Stegostoma tigrinum: one gene and its partner. The main gene of each other region encodes a partner of the protein of the gene in region 2 in a complex. Links are inferred from orthologs where the notes say so. Each region holds a gene or a part of one and is shown on either strand. Other genes may lie near its edges. The genes, in order: fetuin-B-like and meprin A subunit alpha-like.

Region 1 (15,290 bases), on a different chromosome or scaffold from region 2:
CCGACCAGATATCCTAAATTAATCCAGTCCCATTTTCCAGCACTTGACCCTATCCCTCTAAACTCATCCCATTCACATACCCATACAGATGCCTTTTAAATGTTGTAATTGTACCAGCGTCCACCAGTTCCTCTGGCAACTCGTTCCATACACACACCACCCTCTGTGTGATAAAGTTGCCCCTTAAGTCCCCTTTAAATCTTTCTCTCTCAACTTAAACCTATGCCCTCTGGTTCTGGACTCAGGGACCCCGTGGAAAAGACCTTGGCTGTTCACCCTAACCATGTCCCTTATGATTTTTTGAATGTAATAAGGTCACCCCTCAGCCTACAATGCTCCAAGGAGAATAGCCCCAGCCTATTCAGCCTCTCCCTATAGCTCAAACCCTCAAGCCCTGGCAACATCCTTGTAAATCTTTTCTGAACCCTTTCAAGTTTTATGACATCCTTGCAACAGCAGGGAAACCAGAATTGCAGACAGTATCCCATAAGTGACCTAACCAGTGTGCTGTACAGCCGCAACATGACTTCTCAACTCCTATTATCAATGCACTGATCATTAAAGGCAAGTATATCAAATGCTTTCTTCACTGTAGTCTACCTGCAACTCTACTTTCAAGGAACTATGAATCTGCACTCCAAAGTCTCTTTGTTCACCAACAGCCTCCAGGACTTACCATTAAGTGTATAAGCCCTGCCCTGAATTACCTTTCCAAAATGCAGCATCTCACATTTATCTCAATTAAACTCCATTTGCCATCCCTCTGTCCACTGGCCTATCTGATCAAGGTCCCATTGTACTCTGAGGTAACTTTCTTCACTGTCCACCTCAGCTCCAATTTTGGTGTCATCTGCAAACTTACTAACCTAGCCTCCTGTGTTCACATCCGAGTCAGTTACATAAATGTCAAAAAGCAGTGGACCCAGAACTGGTCCTTGTGGCACACTGCTGGTCACAGGCCTCCAGTCTGAAAAGCAACCCTCCACCATCGCCTTCTGTCTCCTACATTTGAGCCAGTTCTGTATCCAAAGGGCTAGTTCCCCCTATATTCCACATGATCTAACCTTTTGAAAAGATTTTGGATTTTCTTTCAAACTTGAAATACTCAGAGACTTTGGAGACAACCAGATAGGATATCAACTGTAATGTAATTAATGTTTTGTTGTTATCCACATCTCCTTAGAAAGCAACATTTTCACTGTCTCTGCAATGTTCGATATAAAATTGTTATTCTTGGACAGTAAATCTCAAACTGTGCGGACCTTTTCACAAAATTTTTCTTGATAGTATCTGTAGAAATATCTTTAAACAAAAGAAATGTTCAGACTTTTTCCTTAAGCTTTTCTGAAAAAAAAACTTTACCTGAGAGGCTGCTCTTGTTATTTCCTGGACTGCAAAATAATTTGTTGTGTTGCTGTTTCTGTTATATTTTTGCAATGCTGTCATGGCAGCTGGATTGACATCCGAATGGTTTAATGGTATGCGATGTGGGCAACTTGGGCATCTGCTCAAAACCACGTCATCTGAGTCTTCAAACAAAATAGAAAATGTAGAGTAAACTCGATAAAGTTGTAAAAACCGAAAGAACTGGATTCTCTCAATCAAGAACAAAAACACAAGTTGCTGGAAAAGCTCAGCAGGTCTGGCAGCATCTGCAAAGAAAAAATCAGAATTAACGTTTCAGGTCTAATAACCCTTCCTCAGAACCGTCGATAAAATTTTATTTAAGTTTTTAACTACTCTTTACATTTTCTCTAAATGTTTTAAATTATTGAAAATATAGCCTTAAAGGAATAACCTGGTCAAGTGTCCAGACTACATGACAGACAGTTGGATATCATGGCTTTTCACATCCATGTGTTTGTTTTAGTCATGTCAATCTCCACATATAATAATATTACAGGATTTCAGCATACTGCTGGAATGTGAAGATTGAAGAAGACACTGCCAGATACTCAGTAACAATCTCCATAGTTGTGTTACGGGACACTAGTATTCCACAATGATTGCAGTAGGCACTGTCATGAACTATGGCAGTAGCAATCTCCATAAGATTGTTGGAACTTCCATTAGCGATTAGAACATGAAACTTGGTAATGCATGGGGCTGGATAATACATACCTCTGCCTGGTGCATTTTCAGTGGGAGAGGTGAGGAGGCTAGCATATAAGATAGGATGAGTGCCCAGCCCACTAATCTCACATCTACCCTTGAGCTTACCCCCTTAATAATGTGGGTGGGTAGTGGCAAAATAATTACATAATAAAGAGTCTATTGAGGCTGTTAAAAGCTTAATTGACCCTAATGTTATCCTGTCCATTTCATGGCATGGTTGGCATGGGTAGGCAGACACAAATGGACAGTATTTTTTTAAGATTTTAAGACAGCGGGCAAGCCGTACACTCTTTGGGGGGTGTCCTTTGCACATTAGGAACCCCCCCGCAGAAAATATTTTGCCCCTTTATGGCTCCTGAGTCGGCTTCTTCTTCGCCGGCCAACTAGCCACTGATTTTGCTTTTAGAAAGACATGCCTGTAAATTTCTGCCCAAGGATTATCTGGGACAAGCGGCACAAACGCATTTAAGGAGAATTTAGATAAGTTCATTGGGAAGAAACGACAAGAGGCTTAATTTGGATTTGGTAAATCTAATGGATGTGAAGCATCAACACCAGCACACAGTGGAAATTCAATATAATTCAGCGTTAGATTCTATGATAGCTCAAGGTATTTTGCCATGTGTGAGTTTGACCAGATCTGACAGACAGTTCCAGCAGCAATCATCATTGAGTAAAAGTAGGATTGATGAAGTCTTCATGAGGACTATAAAGGCAGTGTAGTGGGGGCAGGGGAGTAATGGTAATATCCCTGGACTGAAGCTCCAGGCTAATGCTTTGGGAACATGGGCTCAAACCCTACGATGGAGAAAACATAAATCATTAAAAATAGCCTCGATTTAAAAAATAAAGTTAGACAAATAGTGACAAAATGACCTTCATTGATTATTGTAAAAACCCATCTTGTTTACTAGTGTCCTTTGGGGATGGGAATCTACCATCCTTACCTGGCCTGACTTCTATGTGACTCCTGATACACAGAGATATGGTTGACTGCAAATTGTCCCATGTAATGGCTGAGAGACCCAATCGGTTCAAAGGCAATTAGAGATGGGCAACAAATGCTGACCTTCCAATGACACCTACATGCCAAATAAGAATTTTAAAAAGAACAAGCCATAATAAGACTCTCTTGCGGGATAATACAGGGTACTGCAGGAGCAAATATAATGCCTAGCAAACTAGAGCAAAATATTTAAGACATAGAGGCCAAGAGGGAAACAAAGGGTTGAAAGAAATGCTTGGAATGAGAAAAGCCCAGTTTGGTGAATTATCCTGTTAATGAACCTGTTCAAGGTGAGCAGTGTTTTGAATTTAATCTGCCTAGTCGACAACAAAAATCACATTACCACAATTCTCTGCCATACCTGGTGATATTAAACATCGGTATCTGTGAATCCGAACAAGTCGCGTTGTTGGGTTGATTTGTAATTGGACTTTACAGTCGCCAGAAATCTATTTGAGTTAAGGAAAATATACTTTGTCAGCTATTTGCAGTTCGCTTGTCAGCCCGCTACACTTTTTTCTCAATTCAGGGGATGAGTGAAGAAGCTCTGTATACAGCTGTAATCAGAGGGGCTGTTGTGGTTTAGTGGGAGTATTATTGCTCTGGGTTAGGAGATCCGAATTCAAGTCCCACCTGCCCCAGAGATGTGTCATAACATGTCCAAAAAGGCTGACTAAAAAATAAACATAGATAATGGGAACTGCAGTTGCCGGAGAATCCGGGATAGCAAAGCGTAGAGCTGGATGAACACAGCAGGCCAAGCAGCATCTTAGGGGCACAAAAGCAGACGTTTCACCAGAAAAAGGGTCTAGGCCCGAAACGTCAGCTTTTGTGCTCCTAAGATGCCACTTGCCCTGCTGTATTCGTCCAGCTCTACATTTTGTTAAAAAATAACCATAGCTGTTTTCAGCATTTGCCCTTAATTCTAAAACAGGACACAATAAAATTATGAGATCTCCATCTCATTTAGTTCATGATTGACTAAACATTTCGCAGTTTTCTTTTGCAAAAAGTAATTTTATGATTGGAATAAGACATAAGCAATCAGCTTTTTCGATCTCAGCCTGACAGAAATATATAAGTACAATTTGTTCTGATTATAAATAGGAAAATCAGTTTGGAATCGACACTCCTACTCATCATTCAGTGTACTGCCTAAGGTGTCAGTTTAGCAAATGATTAAATTGAAATGTGATGCTTCACAGTCAAACAGTTTGCCAGCTTCCACTGTGATGATGTACATGTGACACAATGGCCATTTGAGCAAGGTGCTGGGGAAAATGGTCAACATTAATAAAGTAATCCTTCAGTGGTGTGATGGCTAGATGATTGGTTTGCAATTTAAAGGGATGCCAATAGCATGGGTTTGATACCCACACCAGCTGAGATTACCACAAAGAATTCTCCTTCTCAACCTTTCCCCTTGGGTGAGACCTGGTGACTCTCAGGTTAAAACACCACCAGTTATGTCTCTCTCTCTAATGAGAGTGCAACTCTTTGGTCTGATAAGACCATGGCAACTTTATTTTTGTTGTGACCAAAGAGACATTTTAAAATAATCCTTTGGGGAGTTATTTCTGGTGTTGCAACCAATATTCACCTCTCAATCAACTGAAATAAACAGGTCAGTAGCATTTATCTGGTTCAGTAACGCATTGTTGTTTGTTGGAGTTTATTGTGGGTTGGTTGGTTGGTTTCCTAAATTACAACAACAATTCTCAAGAAGTATTTAGTTGGCTATATAAATGTTTTGGGATATACTGTGATCATGAAAAGCATGTTCATAGCACAGCCAAATGAGTTGTTTATCAACCTGTGAATCTTTTCAATATGCCTATAGTAGGCAGTAGGAGCACGAAAGTCTTCTGGCCAATGAAGTTTAATGCTGAATGGTTGACAACCTGTTGCAGGAAAACCTGAACACAGAAACAGACTACATTGCCTCAAAAGCCACGATAATACAGAAAAAAAAATTCTTCCTCCCTGTCCCGTGTATAATTTCCTTCACTGAGTTGGAGGCTAGTGTAATCACAAAATTCTATTCAGCTGGCATTCTGTACACCAAAAACCTGCTGGGAAATCAATGCTACCTCAGTTGTTCCTGAGATACCACAGCAGTGCAGATAGCAAGCGAACAGTGATGGCCTTAGTGTGGGCGCTGATCAGATCATTTTACAGGGATAGACACAGTAAGTGAGTGGCTCTTCCCCATACACATTTCGAAGAATATTAATAATATATTTAAATGTAAATGTCTCAGCTAGCTTATACGTTCAAAAGAGAGATTTACCGCCTCAGATCCTGATCGTACTTCACATTCTGCCACAGGTTTTGGGTTCAGTGAGTGGCATGTAGTCTCCAATACCTCAAACTCTAAATAAGCAGAGGATACACCTTGCTTCTGTAAGAAAAAAACAAGATTTATCATTGACCAAAAACAAATCTGTCACACTTACAGAGCTATGATGCATATTCATATCAAAAGCCTACTGAAACTGAAACAAAACTCCCACAAATGGAAGTTGAGCGATTGAGCAAAATATGAACAGAGTTGGAAAATGCAAGCCTATTTGAATGGAGAAAGACCAAGAGAACTCTGCAGGACTGGATAAACTGGATGTCCTCATGCATTTATCACAAAAGGTTGGCATGCACATACTCAGGTAATTGGGAAGACAAATACAGTGCTAGCATTTATTACAATGGGATGGAAATAAAGAAGTAGAAATATCTAGTGCAACAGTATAGTGCATTGTTGAGATTGCCTCTGGGGTATTTGGTATAGTTTTGGTGCCCTTACTTAAGCATGGATAAACTTGCATTGGCAGCAGTTTATAAAAGGTTCACTAGACTGATTGCTAGGTTGAAGATCATGTACTTATGAGGAAAATTTGCACAGGTTGGGCCAATACAGATTGGCAGTTGAAAGAATGAGAGATGTTCTTATTGAAACACATTAAGATTCTAAGGAGGCTTGACAGGCCAGATGCCTTGAGGTTCTTTCTTCTCTTGACCCTTGTGAGAATCTAGAAGTGGGTAGCAACTTTTCAAAAGTAGGGATTTTCCATTTAAGATGAAGGTGAGAAGGAATCTCTTCTCTCAGAAGGTTGTTAGTTTTTGAAATTCTCTTCCACTGAGAACAGGGGAGGCTGGGTCATTGAAAATATTTAGGGCAAAGTTGGATAGATCTTTGATCAACAAGGAAATCAAGGGTTATGGGAGGCAGATTTAAAATTAAAGTTACGGCTATAATCAGACTGGCTAAGATCTTATTGAATGGCAGAGCAGACTCATTGGGGGCCAAATACCTACTCCAACTCCAATATTTCATGATTTTATATACTAAATTGCTAATTGTACCCGTTGTATTTTTAACTGCACATTGATACAACAGTGACATTGTAAGTATATACATATCATCCAATTTGGATCAGCTACACTACGAATGTTGCCAACAACAATAGAATGATGTTTTAATTAGACCATAGGTAGGAGCATATTACAGCATTGCTTCAAATACAAAAGGTTATGCTTAAAGAAAACTGCTACAATGAAGATATTGTGCTCACCTTGACAATAATAATTTAAGCTAATTTCAAAACGATACTGATCAATGATCTTGAACAGTGGTTGCATATAGCAGAATTTAGCTATAACAGTCTCAGTGAAACTGAAAATACTGGACATATACTGCAGGTCTGCCAATAATTGTAGAGTGAACTTTTTGTCGGAACTGCTGAAAATACCATTCATCAGAACTATCCCCAGGTTACTTTTGTTGTCAATAAATAATCACGGTATATGGTTAATAGAATGTAATAGAATGTTTATTTTCAATTGTTTCTCTTTTAAATGCAGTCCCATATCAACTTAACTAATCTAAGTGCTATATTTTACTTGTACTCACCCCTCTGACTTCCTGGGCATTTTCAATTTTGTTTAGCGTGTACTTGTATCCTCCTGGCTGGTCAGCATTGATGTGTTCCACAGCTAGATCTGCTGCTTTCACTACCCTTGCCTCATTGCAGGAAAGGGCTCTGTAAGAGGCTGAAAGGGAGAGCTGGAAGAATTGAGTGCTGATCAGCAAAGCAATAAACAGGCTCATGTTGTATGACAACTGCAATAATGGAGTTGTACTGTGTTTAATAGACAGCGCATTTGGTGGCTTGAGCATTAACAAACTCACAGTGGCATTGATAACTTCACCACAGTAGGGTAGAATCCAATTGTTCAGCTACTTGTCTAAATGCCATGTGATTTCAGACTACATATTTGACTATGGGAAAAACAAACATGTCAAAACAAATATAAAAATTGACAAAATCAAAGAATTTCAATGACATAGCAAATTCTAAAACAAAGGTCATTTGAATCACTCATACCGTACAGTTACTACTGTAGTTAGTGAAGGCCTGGGCTATGTTCTCATGATGGTTAAAGGAATGCTTCACCTGAAACCTTACCTAGAACGGCCACACCCGGCAGAATCAAATACCAAATTAGCATATATGCAGGCGAACATCTGCTTGATGTGGAAAGTCTTCTTGGAGCCAGGGATGGGGATGAGGGGGGAGGTGTAGGGGTAGGGAAATTATGCTGAACTTGTGCAAGACACTTGTTCGACCTCAGCTGGAGTACTGTGAACGTTTCTGGAACAACAATATAATGCGAATGTGAACGCATTACAGACAGTACCAGAGAAACAAAAATTGTTCCACTTATGAGAAACTTCAGTCGTGAAGATAGATTAGAGTGGTTGGGATAGCTCTCCTTGGACAGAAGAAGGCTGAGAGAAGATCTGACTGAAGATTTAAAACCACGAGAGGTCTGACTGTCCCCATATAAGAATATTGAGATTGGGAGGATGCAGTTCTAAAGTGACCTGCAGAAAAGAAAATGTGATGTGAGAGAAAATGTATTCACACAGCAAGTGGTTGTGGTCCAAACTGCACTGCCTGGGAATAATAGTGGAGACAGAAGAAGCATTCAGAAGAGCATTGAATGATTATTTAAATAGGAATAATGTCCAATGTTATAGTTAAAAAGGCAGATGAGTGGTACTAAGACATAATTTTCATTGGAAAGCTAAAGGGGCCAAATTACCGCATGAAGCTCTGTAATGTGATTCTGTCATACCACAATGTCAGCTTAAACTGCTCGTCAAGTGGCTTTCATAGCAAGTCTAGAGGGTTAAAGCAAAGGAACTTCTTAACAGATTCTAGGCATAATTCAATACAATATGACTGAAAATTGGAATAGAAAAATCAGGGAACCGCATTCTTGAGTCACAGCTCACATGATGGTCAGAAGCCAAAAACCTGTAGAACCAAGTTTCATAATCTTGGCCTTCCGGAAACCAGATTTTATGAATCTATAGTAGAAATCAATCATTTACAGATTGAAGAGAAATTAAGAAAATTCCTAACAGAATTGTAGAGACTGACCTAGTTTAGGGACCAAAGCCATGCAAGTGAAAGAAGCATTATTGGGAGACTGATCATAGCCATAACTCAGTGAGATTTAAGGTAGCCATGGATAAGGGCAACGATGGACCAGATAAAAATTTGATTTTGTGTGAAGGCCAATTTTAACATGATAAGACAAGATCTGGCCAATACAGACTGGAAGCATTTACTTGTGGAAAATCTATGTTAAAGTAATGGGAGTCTATCAAATAGGAAAGAGTAACATTGCAGGGACAACATGTTCCTGTAAGAGTGAAGTGTGGGCCTAAAAATTCCAGTGAAGCCTGAATATCAAGGAATGTTCGAAATTGCATAAGGAATATATAGTGGATACTGAGGGCTTAGAGAACTTGTAGACTTAAACGCGAATAGAAACTGGAGGCGCTCCTTCAGAAAGAAATTATGAAAATGAAGGGGGGGGGGGCGGTATGAAAAAATATTGGAAGGTAAAATACTGAATGGGCCCATTAAGGGCCTGAGTGACAAACTGTGGATGGAACTGGAAGAGGGAAGCAAGGTTTTAAATTAGTACTTTACACTCGTTAATGTTTACACAGTCATTGCTGCACAGGGAGTGTCGTAGGGGGCTGAGGATGCATGTCTGGGGGGCTTCAGTGTTATCATGGAGAAGCTGCAGTTGTCTATCTTCACATCTTGTGATCTGTGGGTCAGAAAGCCCAGGATACAGTTGCAGAAGCTTTCAGAAAGGAAATTAGCTCCAAACTAAGACCTTCGTCCCTATGCTATTCATCCAGCAGAGGGCAAGTGATTGGCTACGCAAAAAGGTCAGAAAACAGGGCCTGTTTATGGACTCCCAGGGAGGGGCCTCATTTAAAGGTACTCAGTCCCTAAACTGAATACCTGATACAGAGGTCTTCAATGCTTGACCTGGCATTGGCAAGTATGGGGGTAGACCCTGCTGCTACCATCCCCTGCCCATCCCACATCATCTTTGTTCACCTCTAGCCTGGAGAACCTCAGCAATCCTGGGCCTCCAGTGGTGGTACAGCCCATGTGGTTGTTCTGTCTTGGGGATAGACCCCTGGGGCCTGTGCTCCTGAGGAAGACCAGTCTAAGTTGCAGCAGATCTTCATGAAAGGAAATGATGCGGGACCCTTCTTCAGACACGTTGACCTTCGTGCTCCTCTGATGCTGCCTGACCTGCTGTGTTCCTCCAGCTCCACACTGTGTTGTCTCTGACTCCGACATCTGCAGTTCTTGCTATCTCCTGATGCAGGACCCTAACTTGCTTTCTTGCTGGGGCATGACCGTCCCAATACTTGGAGGAAATGCTGCCTAATAACTCTTTAACATCTTCTTTAATTCTTATGATAAGTTGCCTGTATGAATCCTCAATGGATCCAGATTCCCAGTTTCCACATTTATATATTTAGGAAACGTTTCTTTGTTAGCTTTGAAATCATTCGAAAGCTATTTTTTCCCTATTACTTACAACACCTTTTTTAATAGCAACAAAGTTGCTGTGGTGCTCAGATCATCTGACTGTGGTACACATCAATGGATACAGCAATGCTAGCCAGGAATGCAACACAAGCTCCTTTGTGTTTCTGTCCTTGCTGCTGCTGACAAGGTTCAGTGCTAGCAACAAACCCCACAGTCCCCCTGTGGATGACTACAATCCCAGGGATGGGATTGTTCTCAATGTTTCCATCTTGCTGTCGGTCAGCCTATTTACCACTTGTCTGAAAACAACACGCTGTGATTGCAAAGAATCTGAATTTCTCCCTTTTTTGAGGTTGGCTTTGAGTTGTGTAAGATCAATGGTAGTGGCTGAAGCTCTTGCAACCTGCAACAATTCGAATGCTTACTCTCCACGCCGAGTAAGGCTTGTCACCAAGAAGACCCTGTAAGACAAATATACATTGCAATTCTCAGTGGTAGTAAATAGGGTCAGAATTCTTCTGAGGTACTGCAAGACCGAGTTGCCTTAGTATTAAAAGGTAGGTGCAAAGGTTACAGTTGGGCAGAGTTGGGAGAATGGATGTATGTGGGTAGTGATATACTGTAGGAAGATTCCCCTCCCCTCCAAATTCAACAGCAAGAACTAATGCTTTTTTTAATGTTCAGTTTTTGAACACAGCAAACTTATTGAAGAGTAATGAATGGTAGACAAGTACTGTAACTCCAGACCTCTACTCCATCTGACAATGCCTTGAGAAAGCCATCGGGAAGGAGGACTGTGGAAACATTGCTTTGGTAACTGGATCAGACAGATTGTGGGGGCTTGACAGGGATGGGGTAGGGGTACAAATGTTCCTGCTGATCCTGTTCCATAAATAAAGTCACCATAAGCCCAGGTAATATGCTCTCATTACAGAGAGATGACTGGTGACAAGTTTAACCTCAGGTTCACCACTCCCTTGGCTAGGGACAAGGTCAGTAAGGTGTAACTTTCACAGCAACCTCAGCCTGTATAGGAATTCAACCTGCACTCTTAATGTCACTCTGTATCACAAACTGGCCCCCAGCCAAATGAGGCATTGCCTCATGATCAATTTCTGAGCCTCCATTGCAAAAGAAGCAGAGGTTACCCAAAGCTGGGCTGGAAGGCCGTAAGAAGTATGGGGTGAAATTTATAAGGAAATTATAAAAGAAGCCATAAAAAAAATTATCAAGTCTGTAGCAGGGGGATGATAAGGAATGAGACTGCTGTATGTCAGAACTGTGTCCATCAGAACTGCTGCCATGATACTGGGTACTAACCAGCATAATGTATTAAACAAGATCACACATCATCAGTGAGGGATCATTTTTGAGGTTGAGATGCTTCAAGTGCAAAGTCATGTCCAAGCAGTTGATAGCACCCTGCATCATGGGGAAATGCTTCAATCTGTGAAGCTACCTGTAAACTCCCCTTCCTTACAGGGAGCACAATGAACCAACCTTTTTCTGAGAGTAAAAAACCTTACCACTGATGCACCAGGGATGCCAGACCTGGGGATAGTTCTGAAGAAGGTTCACTGGACCCAAAACGTTAACTCTGCTTTCTCTCTACAGATGTTGCCAGACCAGCTGAGTCTTTCCAGCAATTTCTGATTTTGTCTCTGGAGATAGTATGTTGGTCGCCTGTTCCATCTTCCAACAATCGGGGTGAAAAAGAGAAAGATAAAGAAAAGAAGTTCAGGGCTGCTGTAACCTTTCCAGCCATTGGCAGCTTGTCCCTCCATGAGACTGAGGCTTTGGTGTGAGTGGAGGCAGAATTCTGCCTCTGCACTTCTTCCAGCCCACGTTACTGCCTGGGAAAATGATAATGGCCAAGCACTGGTGGTCTGACCAAATTCTTGCAGTCACAACAAAATCAGTTTCCACTGACTGCAGAATTCAACAACTTTAACAAATGTTTAAAACAACATCATTTACAGAAACTCAGATAGCACCAACAAGTCCATAAGCCCACTTGATGTAGGTGCAGAATTAGGCAATTCAGCTTGTTGAATCTGCTCCACTATTCAATCATGTTACTCATGATATGTTTCTCAAGTCCATTCTCCTGCTTTCTCCCTGCAACCCTTGACGCCCCTTATCAATCAAGAGCCCAGCTGTCTCTGTTTTGTATACACTCAATGGCCTGACCCCACAACCTTCTGTGGCAGAGTTCCCCAGATTCACCAACCACTGGCTGAAGAAATTCCTCCTCTTCGCAGCTCTAAATGACTCACCTCACACTTTTCAGGGTTAAACTCAATCTACCACTTTTCAGCCCAGCTCTGCATCCTATCAAAGTCCCTTTGTAGCATAGAACAGCCCTCTGCACTGTCCACAATGCAACCCACCTTCATATGATCCGCAAACTTACTGACCCAACCTTCCGCTCCTACATCCAAATCATTTACAAAAATCACAAATAGAAGAGGACTCAGAACAGATCCTTGTGGTAGAGATAATGGGAACTGCAGATGTTGGAGAATCCAAGATAACAAATTGTGGAGCTGGATGAACACAGCAGGCCAAGCAGCACACCGCTTGTAACCGAGCACCATGTTGAATATTTTCCGTCCACTTCCACCATTTATCTTCTAGGGGTCAGCCAATTCTGAATCCAATCTGCCACATTTCCCCCTATCCCATAACTCCTTACCTTCTGTGTAAACCTACCATGGGGAACCTTATCAAACGCCTTACTTAAATCCATGTATTCCACATCCACTGCTCTACCTTCATCCACATATTTGGTCACCTCGTCACAGAATTCAATAAGGTTTCTGAGGCATGATCTACCTCTCACAATCTACATGCTGATTCAAACTCTGCCTTTCCAAGTGATCATAAATCCTATCTCTCAGAGCCCTTTCCAATAATTTGCGCACCACTGACGTAAGACTAACTGTCCGATAATTTACAGGGTTATCCTTATTCCCTTTTTTGAACAAGGGAATGGCATTTGCCTCTCTCTAATCTTCCGGCACTATATCCGTGGAAAGTGAGGACGAAAAGATCATCACCAAACCTGATCGAGTGCTTCTCTCTGTTATCTTTGTATCATCTGAAAACTTAGAATGATGCCCTCAGTTCTTGTGTCCAGATTGTTTATATATGTCATGAATAGTTCTGGTCCCACCACTGAGACCTGTTGAACTCTATTAGTTACCAGCTGCCATCTTGAAACAGATCTCTCTATCCCCACTCACGAATTTCTGTTGGCCAGCCAATCTATCCATGCCAGCACTGTGTCCCTAACACCATGGACTTTTATCTTATTTAGCAGCCTCCTGGGCCACACCTTGTCAAAGGCCATCTGGAAATCCAAATAGCTCAGGCCCAGGGTTCTCCTGGGTCTAATTTACTCATTAACTCCTCAAAGAATTCTAAAAGATTTGTCGGATATGAACTACCTTGACAAAGCCCCTCTGCTGACTCAACCCTATTTTATGCTACAATTCCAAATACTCCATAATCTCATCCTTAATAATGGTCTCTAAAATCTTACTAATGACCAAGGTCAGGGTAACGAGTCTATAGTTTCCAGCCTTATACTTCCCTCCCTTCTTAAACAGGGGAATTACATTGGGCATTTTACAGTCATCTGGGATTCTTCCTGACTCTAGTGATTCCTGAAAGATCACCACCAATACCTTTACAATCTCCACAGCTGTCTCCTTCAGAACTTTGTGGGGTGGTCCAGCTTCTTCACTGGATTTATCCACCTTCAGACCTTCCAGCTTCTCTAGCAACATTTCCTTTGTGGTGCCCAGCATACTCACCTTTGCCCACTAACTCTCCTGAAGTTCTGTTATGCTGCTGGTGTCTTCCACTATTACAGCCAATGCAAAATTCCTATTTAGTTCCTCCACCATTTCTGTTTCCCTGCTACTTTCCCAACCTCATTTTCCAGCGCCTCTAATCCACTGTTGCCTCTTTCTTACCTTTAATATACCTAATAAAACTTTTGCAATCTTCTTTTATACTATTAACTTGCTCACACTTTAATTTCATCTTCTGCCCATTTATTGTTTTTTCTAAAAAAAAATCAAGCAGATGCTGTAAATCAGGAACAAAAACCGAAGTTGCTGGAAAAGCTCAGCGGTTCTGGCAGCACTCGTGAGTTCTGAGGAAGGTTTACCGGGCCCAAAAGGTTAACTCTGATTTTTTTATTCACAGATGCTGCCAGACCTGCTGAGCTATTCCAGCAACTTCTGTTTTTGCTACTGTGTTTTTTAGTTGTCCTCTGCTGGTTTTTAAAAGCTTCCCAATCCTCTGGCTTCCCACTAATCTTCACCACATACAATGTATTGTATGTATGTTTTCTCTTATGCTTTTATGCTGCCCCTGATTTCCCTTGTCAGCCATGGTTGCCTCGTCCTCTCCTTAGTGTGGGATGAGTTTCTGCTGTCCCTCCTAAATTGCAACCAGAAGCTCCTGTCTTCGCTGTTCCATTGTCTTCCCTGCTAGGTTCACCTTCTGTTCAACACTGATCAGTTTCTCCCACATGTCTTTGTAATTACCTTTACTCAATTGTAATTTATTATATCTGTTTCAAGCTGCTCCCTTTTAAACTGTAGGTTAAATTCTGTCATATTATCATCACTAGTCCCTATTACATCTCACTAAATCCAGAATCGCCTGTTCCCCAGTCAGCTCTACCACAAGCTACTCCGACACAACCATCTCAGAGGCAGTCCACAAATTCCTTTTCTTGAAATCTGCTGAAAACCTGATTTTCCCAGTCTGCCTGCATATTGAAGTTCCTCTTGATAATTGTGATAGTGGCTTTCTTACACACTTTTCTAGCTCCTGATTTATGTTCTGCCCCACATCCTGCTAGGAGGCCTGTACATAACTCCCACTAGGATCATTTTTCCTTTGCAATTCCTCAGCTCCACGCACAAAGACTTTGACTCTACGTCACTTCTCGCTATGGATTTAATTTAATCTCTTGCCAACAAGGCAACCATATCACCTCTGCCCATTTGCCTGCCCTTTTGATCGGACATGTTTCCTTGGATACTTAGTTCCTGACCATGATCCCCTTGTAGCCGCATCTCTATGATACCAAGAACATCGAACCCATCAGTTTCAATCCACACTACCAGCTCCTTTTCCCTTGATTTATATATTGCGCGTAATTAAGTACAATACCTGTACTCCTACATTGACTGAACCCGTCTCATAGTTATCCCCCTATCAGTTGTACAGAATTTAAATTCCTGATCCTTCCTATACTCCGTGTCTTATTACTTGTTCTG
Region 2 (15,764 bases):
TCTGTGTGTATTGAAACCAAGGATATCTGGTCGTGTCCTTTAGTTGTTAGTTGTTGTCTGTGGATGCGGGTTGCTAGTTGCCTGCCTGTTTGTCTCACATAGTGTTTTGTGCAGTCTCCATGTGGTATCTTGTAAACCACTTTTGTCTTGTCCATAGTATGTACTGGTCTTTAACTGTGGTCAGTTGCTGTCAGTTTGTGCGCTGTCATGATTCCTAGCAGTCTGAGTATTCTGGCTGTCAGTTCGGAAGTGTTTTTTTAAATTAGTTCAACAGTTATTGTTTTGGATTTTGGTGTGTCCTGGTTGTGTTGTCTATTGGCTAGGCATCTGTGGTTGAAGCTGTGGGGGTACCCATTCCTGGTAAAGACCTTGTAGAGGTGTTCTTTTCTTCCTTCTGCGGACTGGGTATGCTGCAGTGCGTGGCGGCCTTTTTGAACAGGACAAGCCAAACAGAAGACAACCAGGGAATTCTTGGAGGCTTGGCTTTCATCCACAGATTCCATCAACAAATACATGGAATTAGACCCAATATACTGGCCATTACAATGCACAAACAGAACCGGCACTAAGCGGAAGCAACAAAAACTGAACCATATATAAATTCAAACCAGCACAAGGCAACAGCGCTTCACAGGAGGCTCCACAGCACTGAGGATGTCACCCTGTAAGGGGATGAAATGTCTGCTATCAAACGTCCCAGCTCAGCGAACACACCAATATCTACAACCAGCAACTGAGCTACAAATCTTCATTCAAACCCTGAACAAGCTGCAGCTGTTGATGTTAATACTCTATTGAAAGCAGTATTGGAAAGTATAAAAAAAGGTAAAGTGTACACCCACCTCTGCATTTGCCGTTTACAGTATGATCCTCATTTCCAGGATTGCTCTTCATATGAACCCAATCAGCATCCTCATTTTCACCCTGAATCATGCCACAGATATTAATGAACTCAAAGGAACATTGGTCCAACAGTGTGAGAGTGGAACCTGAAAAAAGATACGCAAGAAAATGGATTTAATGGATTATTCCTTAAGTGCTTAACTCTCTCCAAAGTACTTTTATTCCAAGTAAAGACTGAAAACTGAACTTACTGCAGTTATACATGCGATTTAGCCTTAGCAAATCAATAGCACTGAAGTCCAATCGCTGTCCAATTATTTCATCAAATGCTGGTATCTTTGCTGTGATAGTAGGAGAACTGTCGTTTTTGTTGAACGAGAATGGTGCATAATGCATCAGAGATTCATAGTCATATGGAGTATTCAGGTCCGTAATGTAACTATCATCATACACCACAAAGTTATGCTCCATACCTACATAAAAGTGAAAAATTCTTGATTAGATTTTAGATTTACTCTATCAGATATTGAGTTATTACATCAATAGTTATGGATTCCCACCTCCTTTCACAACTCAAGGCCATTCCATGCTCAAAAGAGCTGGGAAGAATTCAAGTGAATTCAAAAGAATCATACGTCTTTAGTCAGTGCAGATTCTCTAATAAGATGAACATTGCTGGGCACTCACAAATCTCCCAGAAGCTTGTTCAAAATTAAATCCTGCATGTGTTAAATGATCTGCTTTAACTCTTTTGAAAGAGGAGAAGGGAAAATGTCTAAGATGAGACAGTAAAATTAAGTTGAATGTACTTTGTGGATCTATGCAATGTAATGCTTCATGAACAATGTTACAGATTCTCACCTTTAAACCTGGATGTGGGAAGGTTCAAGTCTCGAAGAATTTATAGACCATCAGTGCAGTACTGAGCCAGTGCTGCATTGTTACAGATGATAATACATGTTTTTTTCAAAAACACGTGTATTTTTTATACAAGCAGAAATTTGGCATAAAACCATTTTTCAGCAATAATTGTAAACATTGCAATCTGCTTAAATTAAATTCTACTTCATTCAAAAAGATATATATTTTTTGAGGGATTTTATACTTACATCATTAGCATAAAAGATGGGTTCTCATCAGATCAGTGATGTCTAATTATTTGTAACATAGAAGTAGAGCAACAATTTACGGACAGGAAAACAAAGAATCCCTAAAACAACATCCAACATTCTGTGTTTAACTGCATGGACTCCAGAAGTTTCAGAAGCATAATGATGTCACTGACGGTTTTACCATCATTACTATGATAAAATCTGGGCCAATACATTTTCAGAGGCATGTGATTTGCATTTTGACTGTAGCAGGTTTTAGAGAGTGTTTCGTTTCATTTCGGTCCACAGTAGGGAAGAATACTGCCATTTCTGAAATTTGTACTTAGTCTGGCAACTGGTTAATACCAATTGCCACTTTGGTCTGTTTGCTTGAATTTCCTTTACAGCAAATTTAGAGCAGAGGCTCCAAGCCACCATTTACTTCATTCTCAAAGGTGAGAAATTTTTAACTCATTGAATTTTTTTAAAAATAATCTGCTACACAGCTCAGATCTTTACTTACAGAACATATAGATGTCCCTATAATTGAAAAGAATGAAAATTTGAAATCCAACCTGGAATAATTTCATCCCACCAAATGTTAACATAGTCATCCCGGTCTGTCCTTGATTGTTCATGGTAGAATCCTAACGCATGTAGGAGTTCATGTTCAACAATAGCCTTATAGTCACATCGTTCACCAATGGATACATTTTGGCCACTGTGCAAGTCACCAACAGAAGACCAGCACCTGTTCAATAAAGAAATTTTTAGTACTTTATGTATAAAGGAAGATTTACATTTATATAGCACCTTTAATTTCAGCTCTGCTGGGGCCACTGAGCTCCTGACCTCATTAGAGCCTTGGTCCAAGCAATGACAGAAGAGTTGAACTCCAGAAGTGAAGTGAGAGTGACTGCTCCTGACATTAATGTGGCATTTGATTGAGTGTTTTATCATGTGGCCCCAGCAAAACTTGAGTCAATAGGAATTAGGGGAAAACTCCCATTTGGTTGGAATCATACCTGGCTGAAAGGTTGTGGTTGTTGGAGAGCAATCATCACAGTCTCAGTACATCACTGCAGGTGTTCCTTTGGATGGTGTCTGAGACCCAACAATCTTTCTTTGTTTCATTAATGACTTTCCCTTCAACACAAGGTCAGAAGTGGTGTGTTTGTTGGCGATTGCACAATATTCAGCACCATTTGTGGCTCCACAGATACCCAAGCAGTCATATTCAATTATAATAAGACCTGAACAACACCCAGGTTTGTGCTGATCACTGTAACATCCATGCCACCTGAGTGCCAGGTAATGGCCATCATTAACAACAGAGAATCTAACCATCTGCCACTGACATTTAATTGCATTTACCATCTTCCACATATCCCACTATCGACATTTTGAGGGTTTTACCATGGACCAGACACTATTCTGAGTCAGTCTTTTGTAAATACTGTGGCTGTCTTGAGTAGAACAGAAGCTCGAAATTCTGCAATGAGTAATTCACCTTCGGTCTCCTCTATGCCTACCAGGAATGTATGGAATACTCTCTATTTTTTCTGATGCGTACAGTTCCAATGACACTCAAGAAGCTTGACACTGTTTAAACGCTCGCCTGGAAGGACAAGGGCAGCAGATGCATGGGAACACCATGAAGTGAAAATTCCATTCCAAGCCACAAACAATCTGCTTTGGATCACAAGCTGATTTTATTGCTACAGCCCTGGATTGTGGTCATAAAGACATACAGCATGGAAACAGACTCCTCAATCCAACCAATCCACATTGGCCATGTTACTAAACTAAACTAGTCCCACCCATCTTCGCTTGGCCCATGTCCCTCCAAACTTTCCTATTTGTGAACTCAGTGAGATGTTTTTTTTAAATGTTGGAACTGTATGTACATCTGCCACTTTCTCTAGCAGTTCATTCCAACACCAATGACTCCCTGTGTAAAAAAGTTGCCCCTAATGTCCTTTTTAAATCCTTCTCCTCTAACATTAAAAATATGCCTCTTAGTTTGAGTCCCACCCTGCATCTGATCCACCATCACTACAGGTAGCGCCTGACCTCAACATGAATTTAAAAGTGACAACACGCATGCAACTCAGGCCCTGAGTGAACTGGAGCTCTATGGCTAATGGAATCTATCAAATTTTACATCTTTTAAAATTAAAGAATTTAAAATTAAATAAACTCAGTTGTTAGTGCGCAATCCTATACGCAATGAATTTTCTTTTATCTGTTCCACTATGATAATTCTTCACACTAAATGCAACAAGTAGAAAGTCTTTCTCACAGTTTTGAAAATATATCAGTATGAAGCAAGTCAAACATTTAATACAAAGCTGAATTTTGCTTAACTAACGATATCATCTTCACATTCTAAAATCATCTGTTGAATATTTGAACAGCATGCTTTTTTTAAAACTGTCAATTCATTTTGCTTTTTATTTCTTGACACTTCTGATCATATTCTTCTACTCTGGGTACAATTGCACTTCTTTATTCCCCTTTCCTTACAAATATAAGCAACTAGTTTGCATCTGTTACATTCTCATTCAGTACAAATCACCTTCAAGGCCCCAAATGTCAATTTTCTGTTTGGACTGAAGTTCCCTATAGTTAAATGATGTAAATGATGTCGTTAAAAGTTCCTTACTATCTTGTCTAAATAAGATGTTATCAATCAACATACATCCTTGTAGACAATTTTGACAGAGCAAAAGACTTCAAAACTAAAATGGACATGGAGATACAGCCAGGAATTTAGAGAAGCATTGGAGAATTCCGCCTGACCGTAAACTTAAATATGCAAATTTGGAGGAAGGTTTTAGAAGGTGGATGCCATTTAGCAAGGCAGGAGGGTGAAGAAATTACTTCCAGACTGATAGGTTGTTAGCTGAAAAGCTCTATACTAAGAGACAATCTTCATAATCTAGAATCAGTAAAATTTAAACATGCAAAATGAGAAATGGAGTTAGAGAACTCTGTAAAGGGAGGTCAAAGTGAACTTGCGAATAAGATTGTGGAATTTAAAATTCTCATGCTATAGCATGGGAGTAATAGATTTAAGTGAGGATTGTTTTTATAGTTTCTGAGGTTATAGTAGAAAATGTGATAGTTTGGTCTACCATATGATTTAAACCTTTGCATAGGAACTATGTGGAGAAATAATGAATTGCTCTACCTTTGCTCAAACACTGAACATGCCCATAGAATATTCCTATTTGCAACAAACTACTACCCAGAGCAATCTAGTTAGACGATATCAAGTTTTTGTGCAATAACATGAATTCTGCTTTGATTTGTTAATGCAACCAAATGATTTTGTACGTACCCATCCAATTTTTGAAAAATTAAATATGTTTCTTCGCCTTCGTAAGGTTTGAAATCAATGCAGGATTTTAAGCGATACTGCTCAAATGAGTGCAAGATTTCACCCTTGGCATTTAGATCTGTAAATCAAAGTACTAAAAAATGAATAATTGATTTAAATAAAACATAAAATATATTGATCTTCATTTTGCAACTGATAAGTTAGTTATAAAGCAGCCATTTCAAAGAGGTAAAAACCTCGCAAAAAATGCACAAAGCACCATATCCTAATCAAAAAGTACTACAATTTTTTTTACAGTATACATGCGAGATTTTGTCTTACAAGCAGATATATTGCGATGGGCAATTTATTATCAATTATTGAGATCTAAGATACTGTATGCAAAAAAAGAAACGATCGAATTCTCAATCCTTTGCACAGGATCAGAAAATGGGAAAGCCCTAAGTAATTACCCATTCAACTCAGATCTGTCCTCTGATGCATCAAACAACTTTCCATTACTGTGCAAATTATTGTACTTAAAAATTTGTAAATAATTTTGTTAATGGATTTGAATTACGTCCATGATTTAATTTGCCATGACTTCCCCTTAGGATTGCAACAGCTTGTAATAAGTAAATTGTTAAGGTAGAATTAGTGTATCAGTGGGTATGGTTGGATACTTGGAAATATTAAATCTCAAATAAAGTAATATCGAGGTAGCAATAATACTCTTCTAACAATAGGTACTCAAACTAAGATGTAAATCAATAGTACTTCAATGCATTCTGATTATTGACAAGTTTGTATAGAAAGAGTTACCAAGGTTGTCAGCCAGAATGTATGGAATAGGAAATTTCCATCTTGATGTTGGATCTTTAAGAGCATTCCGTTCCCGCTGTAACAAAGTGAGCAAATCAATAATGCATTCAAAATTGGAAGTATAGTGTTAGAAATAGGTTTCTTAGAAATCAATGTAATATGTCTCACACTTACACTCTGTGCAATGTCGCCTTGAAACAGAAACCTTTGGGATTCTAAGAACAAGATATTTAGAAAAGTACAGCAACATTAAAATGCTCTACCTGCTGATCAAAAAAGTCTCACCAAATAACGAAGTGTAAATTGCATTAATATGAAGAATTTTAGGATATATATTTATTAGGTTTGAAAGAATATAACTCAACAGATGGTAGAAAAATGAGTTTTCTGTTTAAATTTTGCACCTACCTAAATTTATTTTTGGAATATCATCTCGAAAATCCCCAGGATCTACATCATAAACTGGTTAAGGAAAAATAAGATTTTAACAAGTTAATTTCTGCATTCGAAGAAGCTGTGATTTTTTTTTAAATAGAGCATGAAAGTAAAGGATAAAATATCTCAATACATACCATTCTCAGAAGGAGTCTGCCTGATCTGGAAAAAGAAGATTGATATTTGTTGAAATGGCGAAAGAATGACAAATAAATTTTTAGCTTGCAAGAATTGTATCTTACCACCAAAGTATTACAGTGGGTGATCAATAATGTTGAGAAAAGGGAAAACAATCCAGAGAGGTTCATGATTGAAGTAGTGGATCCAAATAGCTTAATAGTGCCGTGTTATACAGACACACTAAGTTTAGTTTCTCTATTTCCTGGACTTTGTACAGTAAATTTATCTTTACAGCATTTTTGTCACATGCAACAAAATTTGCCGTGATGAAAATCTGCAGTGCTGGCAGTATGTTAAGAGGGCAACAGTCACCCAATGATCTTGCTTGTAATAGTAAAACAGACATCCGGAGTTTAACTACATTCTTTCAAAAGACCCTAGTCTACAGGATACGTGTTGTTTTTTTGTAGATTATGAAAATAGTACAAATGGCTAATGAAAAAGTGAGAAATCCTTACAACAACTTTTCCTCTTTCTTCAATGAAGAGTACAAATGTAAATTTTGAAAATTACCCAGCCAGCAATTCAAAGAAGATAATATTGGAATGCTTTTATTTATTTGGCAGCCTTTGGGCCAGGAGGTGGTGGCTGTGGAACACCTTGCAAATTTACATTCTCAGCTCAGGTTGACCGTCTTGTATAGTACAGAGGATTGTAGGAAAACAGGTTTGAAGCATCCGATGACACATTTAAGGACCAATTAATATAACCACTTCATATGCTGCAAGCTACAAATTGCCCTTCAGACTGTGGTGGTCATCCCTAGTAATGGCTACAAAAAAGTCCAAACAGGCCCATGGGTATTTGGATACTGCCCTAAGAATCCTGACGGATGGAGTTACCAAAAGGTCAGTCCTCTTCATGGGGAAATGCATAAGGAAGCCAGCCTACCAGACCTATTCTGTCTGAACAAAGATTGTAGCATGCTTCATTGTTCTGCCATCTAAAGAACAGGGCAGCCAACTGAAAACCATAAGTGATCTTTTACAATTCACAAGAATAAATTGCACCATCTTCTTTTCTTTAGTTCTTTCAGTTACCTCTTACTCCTAGGGACACAACTCCCTCTGATTTTACCATCAGTGAAAGGGAAATGGACAGCAAAGTCTCAACATTATGTGCACAATGTACGCTCATGGCACAAGGCTCATCTGAACCTTTCAAAATAATAAACTTGCACTTCCTGCTCAGTCACTTGAGATGCCTCACTACATTGCCTGGTTGTGCATTCTCAAAAACTGTTCCTGCTTCCATTCCCCATATACATAAACTATCTCTTTAGTTCATCTCTGGAAACATTGGCCCACAACGGGGGGGGGGGGGGGGGGGGGGGGACATGGTGGACATCAGGAATGGATGGTTAGGCTGGCCAGTAAAGTCTAGGGCCAGTTTTCTGATGCTAAGGAGAGAGCAATAGGCCATCAACTCAATGAGCTACATAGCACTCTGCTCTTCTCAGATAGTGCCAAACAGCTTCACTTCACCTTCACAACGGCAGACATTGGTAGCACCTAGGAAATCTCAAGCTGGAAGAGGTCACAGCCTGAACTGCTCATCATCAGAATCCCCTCATGTGCTGCAGTCAACCTGCAGGGGAACATCAGGCAGATTATGCTGGAGATCCTCAGAACGCTGGAGTGAAAGATTGAGGAGTCTGTCCATGATAGTGATGGCTCTGGTATGTGAGCACTTGGCTATCTCCAAGAAAAGGGTAGCAGCTGGCTTGGAGATCTATCGCAGTAGAATGTTCACTGGCTGTCAGAAATGCACTGAGATCCAAATTCCATTGCTTTAGCCCCATACTTGTTCGGCATCAATACCAAGATGAAATGCAGTCAAGGTGAGGCACTTCAGCCTTACTCCACCTCTCTCAGGTAGACAGGAGGGTACCAGGAGACGCCCACAGTTTGGAGGAAAGATTGACAGGCACCCCTGCAACATTTTCTTCTCAGGATGTTCCAAAAGTGCCTGGTTCCTCCATCTCTCCCCTGTTTATGACTTCAATTCATGCAGTCGTTCATGTTGACTATGACGAGCACACATCTGGGCAGGAGACTCAGCCGACGGAAGAGCACCAGCCCCTGCAGATTCTCCACTCTCCATTCAAGCTCTGCAGTAGAATCATAACAGGCTATTGTTAGTTGTCAGGATATGGCAGTTCTAATCCAAGACATAAAACCTTAGATTGTGCAACTTGGTCATTTTAGAAGATAAAACTGTGATGGCAAGTATCTTCTTGCATTGAGTGCTGCTGACAGATCACAAGGTGGCAATCATTGGGGACAATGTAACCATGATGAGTCGTTATTAGTGAGTCTAAATTGGATTAGTTGAACAATATTAATTTACAGATTAACGGTGAATTTAAAGCAGACGGCAAGCATTATTCACTTGAATAATGTTAAAGTGAAGGGCTCTTGTGATGCAGTGGTAGCGTCCATATCTCTGAACTGAAAAGCCTGTGTTCCATTCCCAACTGTTCCAGAAGTGTGTTCTAACATGTCTCAGCAGGCTGGTTTTATAAACAATGAGTTATGTGACCCCTTATTTGGGACCAAATCGCAGTGCTACATTCCAACCCTTTTGAAAAGAAACTGTATTTACTGCTCCAACTTTTGCAAGCATTTCATTCCAGTCCCAGACGTTATTGCACGGTTGATCAAAGTGATAAGATTCCAACTTTGCACTGCATAAGCGACTTGCACACTTTGCTTGTGACCCACAATTTCCCCCATTGTCCCTTTTTGCATCGCCATCCCTATGACCCTTCACTCACACTCATGTTGGTTAATTCCCAGTTTTGCACTGTTTGCAGCCTCAACAACCCCTTGGACCGACCCCAGAAAAGCCCTGGATTATGTGCCAAACACCCTGATTGACTGTGGCCTGGACTCGACTCTGAGGATCAAACTCAACAGATACTATTTCGTTCTTATGTTGAATTTCTGCAGTTTCAAGTTTATCAACAGGGGGAAAATAATTAAGATGCAGAAGTTAATAGGATAAGTTGTGTAATTAATGAGATGCAAAAACATGTTAATAGGCACCTAAGCATCTGAGACCAGAGTGAGAATTTGTCTTCAGACAAATGAGAAATTTTCACAGATAAGTGGAATCGAAAATTGACTCAGTGACAGGAAACAAGGGGTAATGATGTTTCTTGCAAATGATAAACGGTTTCCAGTTAGGTTCAGTTTTGCTGTCTGGGCCACATAATAATGATTTAGAGTGAAATGTAGGAGGCATGACTGGGGAATCTGCAGATAACACAAAACTTGGCTGGGTGGTAGAAAGTAAAAATGATGGCTGTTGACTATAGGAAGCTAGCAATGGTTTGGTTGAATGGCTGGGAAATAAGGGAAATTCATTCCATTTAATTGAAACAAGTAAGTGAAGTAAGAGACAAAAATCAGAAATTGCAGGAAAACTCAGCAGGGTAGGCAGCATCTCTGGACAGAAAGAAGAGTTAATATTTCAAGTCCAGTGACCCTTCTTCAGAACTATTCTGTTAGGAACAACTCTTCAGCTGTTCTGAAGAAGTCACTTGACCTGAAACATTAATTCTGCTCCCACTCCACAGATGCTGCCTACCCTGCTCGGCTCTTCCAGCAATTTCTGATTTTGTTTCTGATTTCCAGCATATGCAGTTCTTTGATTTTGTTTGGTTCTTGGAGTGCATGTCCACGAGTCCCTGAAGGAGGCAGGGGAGATACATAATGTCAGAAAGAAGGTGTTCAGAAGAATGAGGCAATATTATTGAAACATACAGATTTGTTTGGAGACTGGTTAAGTGTAGAAAGGATCTTTCCTCTAGTTGGAGATTGTAGGATCAGAGGGCTTAATCTCAGAATAAATAAAACAGAGATGAAGTTTTTTTTCTTTCAAAGGTAGTGAAATAGTACAATTCTTCACCACGGAGAGCTGTTAAGGCTTGGTCATTTAGTACCTTCAAGATGAAAGAAACAGATTTTTAATCAGTAAGGGATTCAAGGATTGTAGGAAAATGCAGGAAAGTGGAGTTGAGAAATATTGGATCAGCCATGGTCTCATTGCATGGCAGAGACTACTCTACTCCGAGGTCTTAGTTTGCTTTTTATTTAAAATGTAGGTTAACCATTCGCAAAATTGTTACATCTGTAACTATCATGACTAATTTAGGACTGGCCTCAAGCTGCGCATTATGGTGTTCATTACACTGCACCTTAATTTACAATTTTTGAACTCCCTGACATTGCACAAATAGTCGATTTAGAACAGGAGTAGGAAACTCTGATAGAGCGTGTTTGGATTGATTTAATTTCACACTAAGACAATAAATGTATGCACTTACTAACAAGTGATGGCGTGCACCTGAACAGACTTGCTTATTTTCAGTACAACACATTTACATTTCATGCTATATGTGCAGGAAATAAATTTTGATCCGTACCACCAAATGGAGATGAATTGATTTGTTATTTCATTGTTTGTTGATGCCTGCTCTTCCTTTGTCAGCAAATTAAATCACCTTCCCATGCTTACATGCTAATGTATTTATCAAAAACATTGGCAGCAACATAACTCAAAAGTAATCAATTCAAAATGCTTTTGAATGGGCTGACAACTATGATAGAGTACTACACAAAGAACAGCTCTTTCTCTATATGAAGGAGGTTTACCATAAATAACATATGGCCCAGATGACCATTTATCAAGTAAGAGTAAATAAATAGATACTTCCTAATCTCATAGTTTAATTAAAATTCTGTTCAGAAATAGCTGTTATTGTTTATAATTAATACCTTTACAGGGCAGGCACTACAAATTCAATGGCTGTCATCGTAAATAAGTAAACTAGAGAGTGAGATAATAGATGGGTTTGCAGGTAGGTGGACAGAGTGACAGGGAGGTCAAGGAAAGACAGGTTAGGGTGCTATTCAAAGTAGTCAGGGTTGAGTCAGTTGTGGTAGGGAGTAACGTAGGTGAGGAGTTGTTTAGAGATCTGGAGAGGGTAAAAAAGTGACTGATGGGCTATTCAGGTGGAGCAATTTTGTGATTGGAGTCTGTACCTTGATGGCAGTCACAGCATCAGGATGATAGTTTGAGGGATCAGCGTGAACGACTGGGTTATCAGTTTTGGAGTTATCCGAGAGTTACATTAAGAAATTTTTGCTAGAATTTCGGGAGTAACTATCCTGATAAGTCTCAGTGGATTTGTTCCAAGTCTCTGACTGGGGCTCAGAGAGTTGTTTGAAGGATGAGAGAGAGCAGGGGACTTTCCCCAAGAGATGTTGTAAATTTTTGAGCATTTTGCACATAGGTCAGCACCTCAGGACTTCCAAGAGGCCCTAGCTTGTATCTCTGGTCCTATAGCCAGTCTCTGACAATCTGCAAATTTGTGCTGATGCTTTGGAGGACATGCTCAAAAATTGTTCTAAATGGTATTTTTACATTCAACAGTTTGTGGTTTAGTACAGAGAATACCCTTATGACATGTAAATAATGTTGTCCCTGGCAATGAAATCCTTTGCAGTATCATGAATATTTCTAGTGAGAATTTCAGAGTTGTTTACATTGCATTTACAGGCTGTACAAATTTAGATTTACAATAATTATTCAATAGCAAAACTTTAAAAATTGATTTGTACTGAAAACATGTATAGGAAATGTCTGCATAAATTATTAACTTAATGAAGTTGATCAATTATTTTTCTGCAGTGAAGCACAAGGTTCATGCAACACTAATTCATCCATAAGGATTTCACAGTTTAATTGTGCAAGAAGAAAAGTATACTGTGATAAGGACCCACAAGCGATTTTAAAAAGCAACGCAGGATATCTCACTCACTCTATCTTTGAGTTAATGAACTCATCTATCCAACACCGCACCCCCCCTCACCCTTGCTATCTCTGCTGACAATCTTGGAAACTGATCATAAGCTTAAAATCATGATGTGCCATGCCTTGATACTGCAAAGGATTTCATTGTCAAGGACAACATTATTTACATGTCATAAGGGTATTCTCTGTACTAAACCACAAACTGTTGAATGTGAAAATACCATTTAGAACAATTTTTGAGCTTGTCCTCCAAAACATTTTGCAGGATAACATGTCAAAACAAACTGGTTTTTTAAAAAATCTATTTTTAATGGGTGTAGTAAGATCACCTGTAACTTTTCTGCATCTGCTTTAATGACTTGACCACATGGTAGGGCTGCATTAAACTAAAAACAAGTTACAAAGAGGAAAACAAAGTGTCAACAAAATAACAGATAAAACGTAAAACGTAAAGATTTGAAAAGTGAGTCTCACTCTCAACTGGTACATTTATTTCAGTTTCATGAATCAAGTAACTGGAATAAAGTTACAACAAAAAGGTTCCCGTTTCTAAAACTGGAAAGTAAATTGTACATGATCAAGTGACTTACAAAACCAAATGTCTATGTGTTAAGTATACAATTTCCGATATATATTAAGTTTCTCAGAGGGAAAAAAGAAGCTTCAAATAACAACTAATCACAGACACCACTATCAGAACACAGAAAGGGGCATTTTTCAGTTGTAACTGTAAAATTTAAATTGTGTTTGTAACAAATAAACCAAAACTTTCATCAATAATTCAAATACTTTTCATGACTAATCTTCCAATTATTCCACTAGACATTTAAAAAATCCCCTGCAGAATAGTTGAACAGTCGGTAATGACTCTAGGACAATTGTAAATTTGAATTACATTGTATAAAGGGACATGATGCTATAACACTGGAGTACCAACTAGCATTGAAAAGCGTATTTGATGTTTCACACTACTAAGTTGTCAATGTAAGTGCAGAAATCAATACCTTCGGGGTGTTAATTAAAATATGACATGTGCAGCAATAGGTTGCATCATTTCTGACAAGAATCACCATAACTTGCATTATAGGGATAGGCACGTGAACTGCAGATAATCTGGGTTAGTATTTGCAGGATTATATTTTGAGAGATTGATGGGGATCTCACCTACCAGTGGAAAAAACAGCAGGAATCCCTTTTCAGTTCTATGATGGAAATTCAACTAAATCCATTGTCCTTCAGGCAGTTGAGTGGCCACCTTCTGTGCCACCACATTTGAGTCTGTGGTGGTGAATGTTTCGCCCACTGAGAGTGCCGGTCAATCAGAGGACAGGATAGGGATCACTGGCTATATCTCAGGCAACAAGGGTTTGATTTTCATTGATGTACTCACACCCGAAAGCAATAACAGAGATCACATCCAAGTAGAGGGCCTAATCACAAGACAATCTCTTAAGAGGGCTCTAGCAAAGTCAACAAAGTTAACCCACGCAGATATGGTTGCATAGGTACTTCTGAATAAGGATCCAAAAGATGATGGATGCACTGATTCAGTGGAATTTTTCTCAGTGTTGTACAGGTTTCTAGAGGAAATTGTTTTCAGACATCAAGTCCCTGAAACTTCAGTTGCATCAATATCAAGCGACTTTGGGCCATATTCTTCAATGTAAGTCTACTAAAGTGCATTATTTGACAAAAATTTAGAAAACCTGTGCAGGTTGGGTCTTTTGTGAGGGGTAAAAGTGGGTAAATAAGCAGCACAGAACTTGGAATATCTTTGGAGTGCCAATCAATGAAGTATCGCTGTTTCAGTGTAAATGTACTGTATGTTAATTTCCTCAAAAGAACTGGCATAATGTCATTCTGACTCCACAGTTATAGTAAGGCTTGTGTAATACACACACTGAAGGCTGACATACCACACAATTATGGTAGTCCTCTTTCTGTGGTGTACAAAACTACTTTGATCAAGTTTAGGTAATGCTGCTGAACTGGTCGCTGGTTATACCTGACCTGGAGCTAGATCTTACCTTTCTTTTTTTTACAAGCCCTGTTAGTATTTGATAACTTTCCTTTTGGAGTTACTGTCTTAGGTCTCACTGTGCAAGTACAGCCTTTGTGGCTTTGTTGAACATCATGTACATTGTTACTCTTATTCTGGACAACTGCACTTATTTCAGCCAGTTCTTCTTCTTTCTGAATTTCCCACTCTTCGTCTGTGTCATCTAACACAGTGCCTTTCGTTTCAGCAACTCTCCTGTAATTGGAACACTCTTGCTCAGCTCTGCAAATAAAAGGAATTTATCCATTATACCAAATTTCAGAATAACAAATGCTCTCAATTTTTTGAATTTTGCAACTTATTTCAAAAACTATCTCTCTAAAAAACTTAGTTATGTTCATTATTTAAGTATAGTTTAAAAATCTTATAGCTTCAAAACTTGACTTCCTACTACGTCTTTTGGTCAAATTCCATCCCCGCCCGCGCTCCCAATAACTACAGGTATAAACTCCTCGGTCCACATTCATACTGGATTTGGTTTTTGTCATTAACGTGAATGTGAAATCTGATGACTGGGTTCACACAAGTTAATCAAAATGCTTTACCCAATTTTCCATCATCACCCACGTCTCCATAATCCATTTCTGTTCGAGAACAGTGCAATACAACGTCTATCCAAAACATTTATATGCAACCACTTACATCTCAAGAAATTGAACACAGTCTTTCTGCCCATATATTTCTGCAATTCTTCTAGGAGTGTCCCCATAAAGATCTGCTTTGTCAATAGGAGCATGTAGAGAATGTAGCATTCGAAGAACGGGTAACCTGCCAGATTCTGCGGCAAAATGAGCCGCAGTCCATCCAGTCTCAGTTCTCAAGCAAGGTCGTGATCCATTCGCGATTAGAAGTTTAACCATGTCTGATTTTCCTGTCAGTGAAACAAAATAAGGTAGTCACATTAAAGGTTAAACGAAATACGATTTACATAAAACTTAGTTAAATTCTCCAGACATTCATATTCACAGCTCTTTTTGAAATTTTACAACTGGAAAAATAGCTCAGTTTAACTGAACTGAGCTGGGCAATGTTATGATTGGACTATCCTTTCAGGTTCCTGGCAACAATTATTTTTACAATATAACTAAATTGATTTCTGCAATTTTTTCCTTACTTTAAAAGGCTAACTCTATTAAGTATTTGCCTTTTTTTGCATAAACTAGGCTCTCTGATGAAGGGTCTAGGCCCGAAA

The links.
Region 1: the proteins of meprin A subunit alpha-like (region 2) and fetuin-B-like are in contact, whole or in part, in a cryo-EM structure (PDB 7UAI), measured with the Homo sapiens proteins. The link is inferred for Stegostoma tigrinum from reciprocal best matches to the Homo sapiens genes MEP1A and FETUB. Residues at the interface, in NP_005579.2 of Homo sapiens: Asp126, Gly127, Cys128, Trp129, Ser130, Glu131, Val132, Gln145, Gly146, Cys147, Tyr149, Ile152, His155, Glu156, His159, Tyr164, His165, Gln167, Ser168, Leu184, Gly186, Tyr187, His189, Asn190, Asp192, Tyr194, Tyr214, Gln215, Phe217, Ser218; in NP_001362516.1 of Homo sapiens: Phe109, Phe110, Lys144, Lys145, Tyr148, Met149, Thr150, Cys151, Pro152, Asp153, Cys154, Pro155, Ser156, Ser157, Ile158, Ser196, Ser197, Gln198, Trp199, Val200, Val201, Gly202, Tyr205, Phe206, Thr242, His245, Trp246, Phe249, Val250, Ser251.

Annotation. Positions count from the first base shown.
Region 1 is NC_081367.1:51,962,186-51,977,475, forward strand, and holds the start of fetuin-B-like, read right to left. Parts: upstream 7,382-15,290; 5' UTR 7,296-7,381; coding exon 7,029-7,295; intron 5,523-7,028; coding exon 5,412-5,522; intron 3,571-5,411; coding exon 3,483-3,570; intron 1,530-3,482; coding exon 1,363-1,529; intron 1-1,362. UniProt on the Homo sapiens protein: Protease inhibitor required for egg fertilization.
Region 2 is NC_081357.1:122,154,679-122,170,442, forward strand, and holds the start of meprin A subunit alpha-like, read right to left. Parts: upstream 6,892-15,764; 5' UTR 6,822-6,891; coding exon 6,756-6,821; intron 6,676-6,755; coding exon 6,651-6,675; intron 6,541-6,650; coding exon 6,487-6,540; intron 6,294-6,486; coding exon 6,253-6,293; intron 6,155-6,252; coding exon 6,079-6,154; intron 5,396-6,078; coding exon 5,278-5,395; intron 2,686-5,277; coding exon 2,510-2,685; intron 1,317-2,509; coding exon 1,095-1,316; intron 990-1,094; coding exon 843-989; intron 1-842. Other genes in the region: ankyrin repeat domain-containing protein 66, read right to left, coding at 14,530-14,794, 15,215-15,443.